Pelodiscus sinensis: one gene and its partner. The protein of the gene in region 2 interacts with the protein of the main gene of each other region in a pairwise test. Links are inferred from orthologs where the notes say so. Each region holds a gene or a part of one and is shown on either strand. Other genes may lie near its edges.

Evidence for each region.
Region 1: the proteins of RBM10 (region 2) and SF3B4 interact in binary tests that used the Homo sapiens proteins (3 or more experiments, as listed by UniProt). The link is inferred for Pelodiscus sinensis from reciprocal best matches to the Homo sapiens genes RBM10 and SF3B4.

What each region holds. Positions count from the first base shown.
Region 1 is NC_134734.1:20,278,917-20,287,008, reverse strand, and holds the start of SF3B4 (splicing factor 3B subunit 4), read left to right. Parts: upstream 1-5,084; 5' UTR 5,085-5,210; coding exon 5,211-5,244; intron 5,245-6,533; coding exon 6,534-6,662; intron 6,663-8,092. UniProt on the Homo sapiens protein: Component of the 17S U2 SnRNP complex of the spliceosome, a large ribonucleoprotein complex that removes introns from transcribed pre-mRNAs.
Region 2 is NW_027465846.1:58,639-65,590, reverse strand, and holds the start of RBM10 (RNA-binding protein 10), read left to right. Parts: upstream 1-3,882; 5' UTR 3,883-4,040; intron 4,041-6,952. Other genes in the region: NDUFB11 (NADH dehydrogenase [ubiquinone] 1 beta subcomplex subunit 11, mitochondrial), read right to left, coding at 2,785-2,973. UniProt on the Homo sapiens protein: Binds to ssRNA containing the consensus sequence 5'-AGGUAA-3'. May be involved in post-transcriptional processing, most probably in mRNA splicing. Binds to RNA homopolymers, with a preference for poly(G) and poly(U) and little for poly(A).

The DNA.
Region 1 (8,092 bases), on a different chromosome or scaffold from region 2:
AGGGAAAAGGGGGAGCAGGGGGACCCCCTCCTCAGTGGGTTGCTGGGAGCAGCCAGGGTCCCCCAGCACGAGCTCCTTTCTCCGGGCCGGTCTGTAGTGCTCTCTGACGCTCCGAGCCGACGGGGGAGAGCCGTCCCGTCGGCTTAGCAAGGCCGTTTCCACGGGAGGTGATGGCCGTGCCGCAGGGAGAGGCTCTCCTGCCAGCACAGCGCTGTCTGCCCGGCGGGGTAAGGGCCAGTCCGTCGGCTGCACGTGGAATGGGGCTGGTCTTTGGCGTGGCGAGGCACGTCCCAGCGATGGGGGCGTTCTGTGCACGTGTTTTCTAAGCCTGGGCCTTCCGGTCTCCACTGGAGAGCCCCTGGAGAACGAGAGCGGGGGGGATCTGGAGCCAGGCCCCTCTCCACCAGTCCTCCAGGCAGCGGGGAAGTTGCGGGTGCACGGGCCGGCGGGCGGTAGTTGCACTTCGCTTGTGAACAAGCATTTCCCAAGTGTGGTCCCAGGAGCTTCTGTCCTGCCCCGAGCGAAGGCAAATTTCCTCTCGGCCCTTTGGGCCAAACCACTCCGCGTCTCCCAGTTTGACACAAGCTGAGGGAGTGATGGGTGGAGGGGAGGGAACCTTTAATAGCTGCCATCCTGGCAGACCGAGGTATGGTTGTCCCCCTAAATTGTTACCACCCACTGGCTGCAACTGACCCATCCTTCCCTCAGAGACAAACGCCCGTTACATGAGCATCCGGCTGCCCCAGCTACCATCACCTTTCCTGCTTCGTGGCTCCCCTCTTGGTTGGTGCAGTGAAGGATGAACAGGTCTGGGAGACTGAATTTCATTTCCACCTTTCCCCGTGCTCCTTCTAGCCCAGGGCTGAGACGCTGTGGATGTTTTGGGGGTGTGGAGCAGCTTGCTTGGGTTGCACCCATCTTGGAGACCTTCAGTGTCCATAGCTATCCCGCTAGCATCTCTCTTGAGCTTGGTGGGGAGCGAAAGCTAAAGGCCGGCCGGCCCCGTCCCAGGCTGCTGCTGGCCTTAAACTGGGGCTGCCGTTCCCTTTGTACGTTAAATCTGCATCGCAACTTTAATGCTGCGCCTTTCAGGGACCCGCGCTTGCAAGCGGAACTCCAGGCCTGAATCACAGCTCTGTCATCCGCTACGCCTTCCATATACTGCAGCCTTCTTGAGGGGAGGAGGGGGAAAGCAGGATTCAGAACCCAATCGTCTCCCTCCCCAGGCTGCAGAAGTCGTATCCAATTAGTCAATTTCACCAGCTGGGCACAAGTATTAGCATCAATCGGAGACTTTTCCCCTGGCTCCAGCAGGCATTGCATTCAGGCCCATGCCAAGGGTAGTGAAGGAAACCCTTTGATGGGAGACTTTAATCATCGTTAAGGAACCTACAGATGCCCGACGGCAGTAGCCCGATGGCCTCATGCCGCTTATTAGCGGCGTATCTGGAGATGGGTGGTGTTTACACAGTTCTTGTATGCTACTTCTTTTCTGCCCCGAGAGCCAAGTGCCTGCTTTGTATATCTGTCCAATGTGGCATAACAGATTATTTTTATTGGCGTTTATTATATACTCTCTTGGGGCAATATTGGACTTATGGGTACATATGTATGGTTTTGTTTAAAATTTTTATATATTTTTTTAAAAGCCCTGGCTATCAAATTAGGAACCCACAGGAAATGGGTTTAGTGTCTAAGCTCAAGTGTTTTATGACAAAACCGGCTGATACATCTATGTGGGAGCCTGTGTGTGTTTCTCTCTCACACCCACACCCAGAGGGACTGGAAGCCGCCAAGTTCCTGAGTGGATTAGAACAGGCGTAGGGCTGCGCTGTTATCCAAGATAGCATGGGGAGATGTGCTGGCATGGCTAAAAGTAGCAGTGGACAGGCACACTGGCTTCAGAGCAAGCTGCACAAGATCTGGGTAAGTACTTGCATTGCTAGCTCATGCCACCACATGACCTTGGAAATATTTAGCCATGCAAGTGCAGGTATGTCTAACCCATGGGCTGTGTCTAGACTGCATCCCTTTTCCGGAAAAGGGATGCAAATTAGACACATCGCAATTGCAAATGAAGCAGGGATTTAAATCCCCCCCACTTCATTTGCATAAACATGGCTGCTGCTTTTTTCCAGCTCGGAGCTTTGCTGGAAAAAAGCGCCAGTCTAGACGGGGATCTTTTGGAAAATAAAGCCTTTTCCAAAAGATCCCTTATCCCTCTTAAAATAAGGGATCTTTTGGAAAAGGCTTTATTTTCCGAAAGATCCCCGTCTAGACTGGCGCTTTTTTCCCCGCAAAGCTCCGAGCCAGAAAAAAGCGGCAGCCCTGTTTATGCAAATGAAGTGGGGGGGATTTAAATCCCCGCTTCATTTGCAATTGCGATGTGTCTAATTTTCATCCCCTTTATGGAAAAGGGATGCAGTCTAGACAGAGCCATGCAGTAATCACGCCTAGAATTGCAGTATAGACATCACCCATGCATGCAGAGAGTCCAGTCCAGCTGTGGTAAAGGAAATTGGTACAGTTGTCTGCAAAGTTTGGAATTGTTGGCATGAGAATCCTAGAACTTCAGACCTTTCAAGTGCCTGGGAAAGAACTGTCACCCCTATCTGAGGAGCATAAAGAGAGCACTTCCTTCAGAGCAGGCTCATTTCTTTTTACGCGCAAGATTTCAAGATGATGAGATTTCCTTTGCACACTCCTGTGTGGCTCCTTTTCCTGCTGGTTATTCCTTTCTAAGAATTTGGGGGTTTTGCTCATTTTTTATATGTATATCTTAGCACTAACAGCACATATACATAGTACTATTTTCAGAAGAAAATTAGGATAACTCAGCAGATCACACATTCCCTGTGACATGAGGCATGAGTTAAGTGGAAATCCAAATAAGGGCATTTTTTTTTCTATTTTGTATATTTTTGTAGTGATGTTTCTATTTAAGGATTCATTAAAGTTCAGTATTTTTTAAATGCAGAGTGGCGGTCTGTGCATTGAATTGTATGCTCTAATTAAACTCAGATACCAGAATCATGGGGTGACATTCTCTTCTCTGTCTTCTGAAGGAGGCCAGATTAGATTAAGCTAATGGCCTTTTGTGCTTTTAAAATCTATTAACCTAAGAGTTCAGATCATCTACTGCAAATTAATCAGCCCTTATAAGGTGCTTTGTAGCAGTAGATTGCCAAGCATTTCACAAAGGAGGTGACGATGATCCCTATTTTACAGATGGGGAAACTGAGGTACTATTGAGGCAGGGACTTGCCTACGGTCACCCTGCAAGCCGATTGTTGAGCCAGGAATAGAATCTAATTTTCTCCAATCATTGTTCGAGACTCTCTCACTTTACCCAAAGCAGGGTAGTCCAGCTGGGCTGAGGCAGGAGGGGGGAGGGGGCTATTTGCACCTCTACCAATCACATTGCTGTGTGCCTCGGTTTCCCCATATGCACAATGGGAATAATGATAGTGACCTTCTTAGGTAAAACAGGGGAAGCCATTACATCCCCAAAAGCAGTCAGATCCTTCCTCTAAAAGGCCAGACACCCCACAGGTGTAAGGAATTATGCCATCAAGGTGCAGGAAGTACATAACCGGCTGTGTTGGGCTCTGCAGGACAATAAAGCATCATGGCGTAGCTGACTCCAGCCCACACTCAAAGGCTATGTCTACACTGGTGCGATCTTGCACCAGAGAAATGCAAATGAGGCTAAGCGTAGAATATCACCGAGCTTCATTTGCCTATCTAATGAGCTGCCATTTTGCGGAAGAGGCTCTTGCGCCAGAAGGAGCTGTCTACACTGCCCCTTCTTGCGCAAGAAAAACCCTCTTGCTCAGTGCTTTTTTGCGCAAGAAGGGGCAGTGTAGACAGCTCTTTCTGGCACAAGAGCCTCTTCTGCAAAAATGGCAGCTCATTAGATAGGCAAATGAGGCTCGGCGATAGTCCATGCTTAGCCTCATTTGCATAGCTCTGGCGTAAGATCGTGCCAGTGTAGACATAGCCAAGGAGGCTGGGTCTGTGCGTCTCTCTCCCAGAGCCTGGGCCGAGGGGCCAGAGCCGGACTAAGGGGTGGGCGAGCCGGGCAGCTGCTCGGGCGCCAACTGATGGAGGGCGCTTGACGGCAGTTGTACAGGGCGTGTAGCGTCCCTTATAGCTGCCATCAGGCACCGTGCACCCAGCTCCCCCCCACATCCCAGTGGCGCTGGCCAGCAGCGCCCTTCCCCCCACAGCCACGGGGCCCTGCACGGCCAGGCAGCGCATGCGCCGTGGGCCCCAGGCTGCGCGCCAGTGGCCATGGCCGGACAGCGCATGCACCGTGCGCACTGGGGCGGGCCCACACAGGCGCCATGCGCTCTGGGGCGGTGCCACGCACCCGGGCCTGGGGTGCCGAAATGGCTCGGGCCGGCCCTGCGAGGGGCACAGATCTTCTACCGCTGGGTGTTTAGTTTTTCTCTCATGCGTCTCCAGCTGGGACTAGAGGCCTTGGGAAGTCCAGACAACTGCCCCAGTGCCCACAGGCCCCCAGCGTTGCCAGGTTTTTGCCTGGACTGTCTGCTATTCGGGCCCCCTGTTCAGTAAAAGCAGCAGACAGCACCGGACATGAGAAATGTCTGGTGCTTCCTTTGGATGGACGTGGGGTGGGGGTGGGGGTGGGGGCGGGGGTGGGGGTGCAGTGTGGGGCCATTTAAAGGCGCAGTACCCCCTTTTTTTCTCAACTTTGGTCAAGAGATTTTTTTCCTGGTGTTTTTTTTGGGGGGGGGGGGGGGGTATTTGTTAATTCATCTGGCACCCCTAGGCCCCGCCCCCTGTGCCTGCATTGGGAATAGGGGGCGGGGTCAAGCAGCAGGCGCCCCCCCCCAGCAAGGGGGGGTGCTCTGCGGGGAGGGGGCATCCCCTACAACGGGTGCAGAGGGCCGTGGAGCGGCTAGTGGCACTTTACGTCATGACACGTCACCACAAGGGTCCTAGCCCTGGGGGACCAGGGTGGGGATGAAGAAGAAGGGACCCAGCGAGCCACTTCCGCCCAAAGGGAACATGGCCCCCTAGGGGCCTGCCCGGCCGACTTCCGCCCTTAGCCGTCATGGCTCCCCGGCCACTTCCGGCCTCGTCCAAGATGGCCGCCACGTTCACTGCCCCGTTTCAGCCGCGGTGGCCGGAAGTGGGAGGGTGAAAGGGCGGAAGTCGGCGGGGGAGGCGGGAGCGCGTTCGAGATGGCGGCGGGGCCCATCTCCGAGAGGAACCAGGGTAAATGGCGGCGGCCTCCGACCCCCTCGCCCCCCCCCCCCCGCCACGAGGGGCTGGGCCCGATCCTGCCCCCACAGCCAGAAGGGGGGGGCTGGGTTCCAGCCGGGGGGGCGGGTCCTGCTCCCACAGCCCGGGGGGGGGGCTGATCCTCAGCCTGGGGGGGCCTGATCCTGCCCCTGGTGCTGGCTGGGTTCCAGTGGGGGGGGCCAATCTTCCCCTCCCAGCTGGAGGGGGGGCTGGGACCTCCCCCCAAAAGCGGGGGGAGGGGGCTGGGTCTGAGCCTGCAGGGGAGCCCGATCCGCCCCTCCCCCCCCACCAGAAAAGCTGGGCGGGGTGGGGCTGAGTCCCAGCTCGGGGGGGGGGGGGGTCTCGATCCTCTCCTCAAAAATGAGCGGGGATGGGGCTGTGCCCCAGCTGGGGGGAGGCGACCTCCCCCCCCAAAAGCCAGAGGGAATGGGGCGTGTCCTAGCTTGGGGGGGCCACGCATCCCACTAAAAGTGAGAGGGGTGGGGGCGCTAGATTCGGTTCCTCTGCTTTGCATGTGATTTCTGTCAGTTCGTTTTTTGTGGGGGGTGGCGGGAGCTGTGGGTTCTCACTCTGCAACCCTGGGCAGATCTTCCCTCCTCTCTCTGCCTCAGTTTCCTCCATAAAATAAATACCTTGGGGTGGGGGTGAGATTTTAGTTTGATCTGAAGTATCGACTTTGTGTTGCCTTGGCAATGGGAGGGGATCATGGTCAGCAGCGTCATTAGGTATGGTTTGAGGGTGTTACTGTACAAACGTGATTTAAGGGGAGTTGCTTCCTTGCACGCAACAAGGGGAGGCAGTGTAGCCTACCTGCTAGAGCACTGGCCTGGCCCTTGAGACACCTGAGTTCTATTCTTGGCTCTGTTGGGTGATCTTGAGCTGCTTCTTCTCACTGCCTCAGTCTCCCCATCTGTATTATGGGGCTGATGATGCTGACCTCCTTTGCAAAGTGCTGTGAGAGCTACTGAAGGACTAGCTAAAAGTTAGGGATTAGCACCTCTTTGGTGCATGTCTGCACTTCAAGCACGGGTTTTAATCCTCTGGCTTATTGGGTGTATAATACTCCAGAGGAGTGTGTTTCATTAGGGGTCAAATCTTGTGCTGTTGAAGTGGAGGCAAGTTTTGCTTTTGACTTAGTGGGCTCAAGCTTGATACAGAGCTCCTCTCTTCTGAGGGGGGAGTTCCTAACTCCTCTGAAATAGCAACGAGATTCCTCTTCAGAGCCATGTAACCCAGAACCGTCTCCTCTTCCCCCTCTCAAGATGCTACCGTGTACGTTGGTGGCCTGGACGAGAAGGTCAGCGAGCCGCTGCTATGGGAACTCTTCCTGCAGGCGGGACCAGTGGTCAATACTCACATGCCCAAAGATCGAGTCACAGGTCAACATCAAGGTAAGGCGCTGTCGGGGCCTTTCAAAGATGTGTGTCTGCAAAATAACGCATAGATCCGAATCCTCGTGGTGCCTGGTGCTGTACAAACACTGACCAGCCCGTCCCCAGGCCTGAGCTTATAATTTAAATCATTCTTCTGGGTTTCAGTTTACTCCATGCGTATGTTGCCACTGGTTCTAGGACACAGCACGGACCACATCTCATTTTCATATTGTCTCACTCCAGTTAAAAACATATGAACGGCCATACTGGGTCAGACCCCAAAGGTCCATCTAGCCCAGTGTCCTGTCTGCTGACAGTGGCCACTACCAGATGCCTCAGAGGAAGGGATTACAACAGGTAATCCTCATGTGATACCTCCCCTGTCACCCACCTCCAGAGAAACAGAGGGTAGGGATACCATTTCTACCCTTCCTGGCTAATAGCCATTGATGAACCTAACCTCCATGAATCCATCTAGCTCTTTTTTGAGCCCTGTTAAAGTCCTAGCTTTCACCACATCCTCTGGCAAGGAGTTCCACAGGTTAACTGTGTGCCGAGTGAAGAAAAACTTCCTTTTGTTTGTTTTAAACCTGCTGCCTATTCATTTCATTTGGTGATCCCTAGTTCTTATATTGTGGGAATAAGTAAATAACTTTTCCTTATTCACTTTTTCCATGGCCAGTCATAATTTTATAGAACTCTCTCATATCCCCCCTTAGTCTCCTCTCTTCTAAGATGAAAAGTCCAAGTCTTTTTAATCTCTCTTCATATCGGACCCTTTCCAAATCCCTACTCACATTCTTGTTGCCCTCCTAATCGGTTGCGTTACTTTGAAGAGTAGACGCGTGTTCTGGGCTCCGTTACTTTTTAACCCAGTTTCAGTGGAGACTTGAGGCTTGTCTACAATTGAAAGAGGCTGGAGCAGCTTTGCTGGCAAACTCTCCCAGTGGGAGAGACTGCATATAACAGAATTTTGTAGTTCCCTACATAGAATAAGTTATAGCAACTAAAGGACTTGCTGGTATCATATGTACATGTAGATCTTTGCTGACCCAGCTTTGCCATGTCGGCATGTGATTATTTCACACTCCCAGGCAACATAGCAATGCTAGAAAAACTTCCGAAGTGTAGGCCAGCCAGTAGTGAAACTGGTACAGATCCCTCTTTGGAGACTCAGAGCCGTTTAAATCTTTAGCTTGCAGCTGTGAGCTATGGGTGTTAAACCCGGTTCATCAATTGAACTTGATGAGTGTTCACGCGTGCAGCTGCACTAGTTTAAATAAATCAGTTGCAAAATGGCACCTTTAGATCGGTGCTACTTCATGGCTAGATCAGGCTTCAGAGGCCAAGGGCACGAGAAATCAATAGATGCAGGTGAGGGAGAAAGATGATCTGAATTGCAACGGAGTGGAGACGTAGACCGAGGTGGTTCCGGACACTAGATGACG
Region 2 (6,952 bases):
AGGCGCAAAGAGCCCGGTTCCCAGCTGGCGGGAGGCCCGTTAGCGCCTCAAGGACAGCCCGAGGCACACGCGAGTCACCACAGCAGCCTTCCTCTGTCCTCGGGCGCTCCCCCCTCTGGGATGCAGCCACCTCTGGGCTGAAGCAGCTGGGGACCAGCCACACAGACAGGTCTGCTGCCTGGCGCTACCCTGCCAGGGCACGTCCCACTCGTGCATCAGGGCAGCAGACCACACGGAGCTGCTGTTTCGGGAGGGGGGAAGGGAGGGACAGCAGGCCCCATGGGAGCTGAGAATCGGTCCCTGCCCACGCACCAACCTGGCCAAGCCTGGTCTGACAAGGGGAGAGGATCAGCCTGTGGGTGGCTCCCAAACCGCTGGACCCCGCTCCCCTCCCACAGCCAGGGAGAGCTCAGGAGTCCTGGCCCCAGTCACCCCTCTGCTCTAACCATTGGACCCCGCTCCCCTCCCACAGCCAGGGAGAGCCCAGGAGTCCCGGCTCCCAGTCACCCCTCTGCTCTAACCATTGGACCCCGCTCCCCTCCCACAGCCAGGGAGAGCCCAGGAGTCCTGGCCACAGTCACCCCTCTGCTCTAACCATTGGACCCCGCTCCTCTCCCACAGCCAGGGAGAGCCCAGGAGTCCCGGCTCCCAGTCACCCCTCTGCTCTAACCATTGGACCCCGCTCCTCTCCCACAGCCAGGGAGAACCCAGGAGTCCTGGCTCTGAGGCCAGCAGGTCCCAGGTGAATGCCAGAGGAAAGGGGGGAATGTGCCCCTCATTCCAGCAGCCCTCAGGGCAGAGGCCCCTGGCTCCAGCCCCTCTCCCCCCATGGCCAGGGCTAGCTGGCTCCCCTGCTGGGCACTGCCTGTGACCCACATAGCATGGGCCACACAGGATTAAGGGGGTGGGTGGGAATCTAAACAGGGAAACTGAGTTGGGGGGGGGGGCTGGCAGCCACAGCAGTGAGGGATTTAGCACCTTGGTTCCCAGAGCCTGGAGTTCTACCCCCCCCCCCCCCCCCCGATCAAGCCCAGGCACGGAGCTGCCCCCGCCAGCAGCTCTATGCCCCATGGCCAGTGAGGCAGGGCACTGAACTCCTGCGGGGCCAGGCCCGGCGCCCGGGCAGGTGGGCACAGCTGTCGGAGGCAGGCGCTGCTCCTGCGGACAGAGCCCCTGGGGAAAACCGCGAGGCCGTGCTTGGGAGCCGGCTCCAGCTCGGCGCTGGGGGGCGCCCTCCCCTGGCAGTGAAGGGAGCAGAGAGCTGGGAAGGGGCCTTTTCCCAGGCAGCGTTCCCCACCCGCCAGCGACCTTGTCTGGGCCCGGCCAAGGGCAATGCACAAAGGAGACTGGGCAGCAGCCCTGGCTTGGTCAGCCAGGGAGAGAGGGTCTGAGGCGCTGGGTTCTCAGCCCACCCCCACTGGGGCTAAGGGAGGGGACGGGCAAGGGTGGGGCTTGGGCAGGGATTCCCCCCCCCGCGTGACTGTCTCTGCCAGCAGGATGAGCCCTTTGTGCCCCCAATCACCCTGGTCTCGCCTCAACACCAATCCCTCCCATCAGCCCCATGGCGCCCTCTCCCAGCGATCTCTACCGCCCCCCAACCCACCCCAACTCCCCAATCCCGCCCTGCCCCCCCACAGAGATCCAAGCACCTGACAGGCCTCACCCCAACCACACAGATGGGAAACTGAGGCACAGACAGGTCAAGGAATGGACCCAAGGCCACACAAGGAGGCTGTTGCAAATTAGGAATTGAATCTTGGGGTCTCACAGGCAGAGTTGGAACTCTAGCCTGGAGCCCAGTACAACCCCTTCCCCCACAAATCCCCCACCTGCCTATCCCTCCATCCCATCTGCCCTACGCCCCATTCTGCACCCTCCTTCCCTCTGCACTTGCCCCCAGGCCCCACTGCACCCACCCACAACCCTGAATCCCTTCACGATGTGCTCCTTCCCCTTCCCCTTGCTCTGGGTTTCCCGAGCACCCCCACTCGCTCTGCCCCCTCCAGCCCCCCCCCACTCTAACAGCCTGCCCAAACCCCTGCCCCCTAATGCAATCCCCGGCCCCACCTTGGTCCCCCAACTTGCCCCACCCCCACACACCCTGCTCTGTACTAGGGATGTGAGCGACCAGCCACTTCCCTGCCCCTTGCTGAAAAGCCGGTTCCCCCCAGCTCCAGCTCCATGGGAGGGACGCGGTGGCGGCTCTTGTACCATGGAGCTCCGGCCAGTGTGTGTGGGGGGGGGGCTCAGAGTCCCCTGCTGGCCCCGGCTCCAGTTCATTCTTTGCAATGAGCCCTTGGAAAGAGCCGGGCGGGCTCCTGCTGCCTTTCAACCCGGAAGCGCCCTCGGCGGCTAATCGAATAGTCGATTAACTAATCGCAGAGTTGATGGAAAATCCATCGAATAGTCAGTTAGTTAATTAATCAAAATTTAACATCCCTACTCTGCACGCCCCCTCCCACCCCCAGTGCAGCCCCCTGCCCCTCCCCCTCCAGGCCCCGCCCCCTCAGCCCCCCACCTCAGTGCCGAGCCCCACCCCTCCAGGCCCCGCCCCTTCAGCTCCGAGCCCCACCCCTCCCCCTCCAGGCCCTGCCCCTTCAGCTCCGAGCCCCACCCCTCCCCCTCCAGGCCCCGCCCCTTCAGACTCTCCCACCTCAGTGCCGTGCCCCGCCCCTCCAGGCCCCGCCCCTTCAGACTCTCCCACCTCAGTGCCGTGCCCCGCCCCTCCCCCTCAGGCCCCGCCTCCTCAGACCCCCCCCGCCCCTCCAGGCCCCGCCCCCTCACCTTGCGCAGCGTCGCCATCATCAAGTCCTCCTCCTCCTCGTGCGGCTGCTGCGGGGCCCGCGCGGCGAGGGGCGGGGACACAACGGCAGCCGCGGCCCCGCCCCCCGGGCCCGACCCCGCGCGAACCCCGCGCGCCGGGAAACCCCGCAGCAGAAGCGCGCGCCGCGCACACCGCCCCAGCGCCGCCATCTCGCCCCTGCGGGGGGAAGGGCACTGACGCGCGGAACCGGAAACCCCGCCCTGCGCGGCCGCGGCACGAGGGGCCCTGGCTGGGAGCGATCTCACGCTGCGTCAGAGCACGTCACAAAGGGACCGGAGCGGAATGGGGCGGGTCGCGCGCCGGGTTAAATATCGGCCCTCGCGGACTGTACCATGGAACTCCCCCCCTCCGGACTCTACCATGTTCTGCTGGGATTGTCCCATAGCACCCCCCCCCCGGACTGTACCATTTCTTACCGGAAGGGGGGTACAGTGCAAAAGCACTTCCTCATCCCGCCCCTCCTGGTACAGTTTGCCGTCGCCTATTCCCACCCCACCCGGACTGTACCATATGATCCCCCCCTCTTTTAGCACCTCTGGACTGTACCATATTCATCCTCGGAGGAAAAAAACCCTCAGCTCCCCTGGGCGACAGTCGCAACCCCTCCCCGTTCCCCCCAGCGTGTGCATGACGTCACGGCGGGCCACAGTGACATCACGTGACGAGGTCGCTGCACACCGTCACTGCACTTTGCCTGATGGCGTCACCGCCCAACACACCCATGATAAAAAAACTCGTCGCGTCGTGACGTGGCCATGACATCATGTCCCTGCGGTCACTCGGCTGGGTCATGACCCGGCTGTTCAGTGGCCGCATAGGAAGGCGGGCCCTGTGAGCGTTCCGCCAATCGCCGATGAGCAGAGGCGGGCCCTGTGCTCGCTCCACCATTCTTATTCCTGTGGGGGGGGCGGGCCTCTGACCTTCCAGCCAATCCCCTGCCCGGGGAGGCGGGCCCTCCAGAGGTGCCGCGAGCGCTGGGAGCGACTTGCCGCGGCCCCGCGCCCACATCCGGCGCGCGCTGAGCGGCAGGCTTGCCGGCCAATGGTATCGCGGCGCCGCGACCAATAGGCGCGCGGGGGGGCGGGGCCGCGCTCGCCGCCGCCGGGACAGTCGGCAGAACTCGGCCGCTGGAGCCGCCGCCATCTTGCGCGTCGGGCGGGCGGCGGGTGCGCGAGGAGCGGTGTGTGCGGCCCGGCCCGCGGCTCCCGCCGCCCAGGTCAGCGCCGCCGCGCGGGGGGCGGGGCCGCGGCGCCTGTGGGGGGGCGGCGCTGGCAGAGAAGCAAGGGGGGGCTGGGTCTGTGGGACCGTCCGGAAACGTTGGGAGGGGGCGTGGTCTGCGGGGGTCGGGGCGGAGCGTGTCGAGATGGGGGCGTGGTCTGCGGGGGTCGGGGCGGAGCGTGTGGAGATGGGGGCGTGGTCTGTGGGGGTCGGGGCGGAGCGTGTGGAGATGGGGGCGTGGTCTGCGGGGGTCGGGGGCGGAGCGTGTCGAGATGGGGGCGTGGTTTGCGGGGGTCGTGGGCGGAGCGTGTGGAGATGGGGGCGTGGTTTGCGGGGGTCGGGGGGCGGAGCGTGGCTAGATGGGGGCGTGGTCTTCGGGGCGGAGCGTGTCGAGATGGGGGCGTGGTCTGCGGGGGTCGGGGGAGGAGCTTGTTGTGATTGGGACCTAGTCTTCGGAGTCCGTGGGGGAGGGGGAGTTGGGTCGACTTGGGGGGCGGTTGCGGAGAGAGGAGCGTGGGGGTCGCTGGGGGCTGGAAGGGGAAAGGGAGGAACTGATGAGGGGTTGGGGCAGCTGGCGGATGAACCTGCTGAGAGACGAGCCACGGAGGCGCTGGAGCACGCTGGGGGGTGGCCAGCCAGGGGGGCAGTTGGGGGTCCGGGTGCCGTCACTACAGAGCCAGCTGAGGGTGGAGGCGAAACTGGGACCGGAGGCTCCCTCGCCCCCCCATCGTGTTGCTGCTACACGGGCCCTGGCTGCGCTCGGGGTGCCCTGCCGTGCTGGGTGCTGGGCAGAGGAAAGCCTGGCACGGCTCTGGTGCCACTGAGAGGAAAAGTTGGCTTGGCTGAGGTAACGTGGCTGAGCCAGGGAGCAGCTGGGCCTGGAGACGGGGCAGAGGCAGGTGCCTAGGAGGAAGGGAAGCCCCCTCTGGCCAGCTCCCCCATGCCCTGTGTCTGCCAGGGACCAGCCCCGGATGCTGCCAAGGGAGGGGGCTTGTGCAAGAGACTCGCTTTGCACTTTTGAAGCCTTGTTGTTGGAATTGTCCCACCCTTGATTTCACCCCTGCCTCAGTGGCCCCTGGTGGCAGTGAGTTTCACAGGCTTGTTAGCTTCCTGGCACGACTGCATCTCCCTGGCATTCATCCGTCGCCGGAAGGGCCTGGTGCCGCAGGGTGGGTGCTGAGCCCTGCCTCTTAGACACTGGCAAGCAGAGGCGTCCAGTCGCTGTTGCAGAAGACCCCCCCCCGAATAGATTGGTTTGGTGGAGTTTCTGTTGCCTGTGCGGGCTCAGACCTTAGAAGTGCTGGCAGCTTTCTCCTTTGCCACGAGGTGGGGAAGGACTCCGCCATTGTCCAGCTAAAGAGGAACCGAGCACCAGAGAGAGGAACAGCCCAGAGTTCAGAGATGCTCATAGGCAGCTCCCCCAGTGCACGGTTGGGGACCCCCTTTCCAGGGGTGCCTTGGTGGCAAAGCAGATCTGTGCTGCAGGCAGGGAGCCACGGAGGAGGGAGAGACCCCCTTTCTGTCTGGCTTTGTGCCTGGCACCCTGCGCTCAGCTCCGATAGCGCGGCTCGTGGGCTAGGCGGTGTGGCGAGGATCTCGGTGGAGAATGGAGCCGTGGAGCATGTCACTAGGCCCTGAGCTGGTTCTGTAGGTGATCCCGGTTCCCATGGTGTCAGCAGAGCTGTGGGGGAAGGAGAGTTGATCCTGGGCTGTGGAGAGAACCGCGTGTACGTGCCGCACTGTGGCTGGTTTCAGAGGGACTTGGGGGCTTTGTGAGGCTTTTGCTACAGAGCGTGGAGAGACCAGCCCCAACCCGTGCTGCAGGGAACCAAGGGCAAAGCAACCAAGGGCCTGGAGATAATCGATCTGTGTGAGGGGGTGGAGCGGGGGTAGCACCCCCCCTCTGTCTTCAATCAGACTCCCCTCTCTGCAGGTGTCCAGTGAGGGCAGGAGCCACGGCCTGGCTCATGCGACTTGCTGGCATCAGAGACACAGATCACAGTGTGGGACAGCATGCTCAGCCGGCTGGGGGGTGGGGAATGGGACCTGGGGGCCTTTCCCCTCCAGGGGGTGCTAGCTCCCATCCAGCTGCAGGGCGGCTGGCTGGCTCGGGGGGCCAGGGCTCGGATCCAGCGCTCGCTGGCTGCTACCCTAACGTTACCTGCTGTTACGGAGAGAGGTTGCCTGCCCCATGGGCGCCCCTCGACGGGCTGGGGGAGTCGGTCAGGTGGGCTCTAGCACGGGTGACTGGTCCGGCGAGGAAGCCGGGAAGTAGCCGGCCTCCTACCTCCTTGGCTGCGTCGCGAGGCCGTTCCTGTCAGGACTTCTCTTCGGTGGTGGCGCTCAGCAACGGGAGGGCGTCTCGGGGAAGCAGCCGGGGCCACACTCGGACGTGAGGTGACGCCTCGCAGACCCCAGAGCGCATCATGCTCTTGCTTCCATCTCCTGCTGCTGGGAGACAGCCGAGCCGGCATGTGACGAGTCCGGGCACCTGACGGAGCCGCTAGCTCTGGGCTGTGGGGGGAGGATGTGTCAGGCTCCCAGAACCGTTCCCCTGCGTAATGCAGGCAGAGGCTCAGAAGGGCCTGTAGGAGCCAGGCCTGCAGCTAGACCTGCCGCGGGCTCCTGGACAGGCAACCCTGCGGGGGAGAGGCTGGCTGTGGTCGGGGAGCCCGGAGCGGTCTGGCTAGTGCAGAACGCGGAGGGTGTTGGGCTGAAGGTGGGTGGGGGAAGCCCCTGGGGAGGGGAGGTTTGCGGCAGTGCGAGCTCAGAGAGGTGGGGCACGGGAGGAGGATCCCAGTGCTCTGGAGAGGACAACTCGGGGTGCTCTCCATGGTCCCAGCCAGAGAGAGGCCGCAGACTCCAGGCCCACGCCCTTGTGCCAGTGCGCTGGGGCTGCCCGGGCCCAGC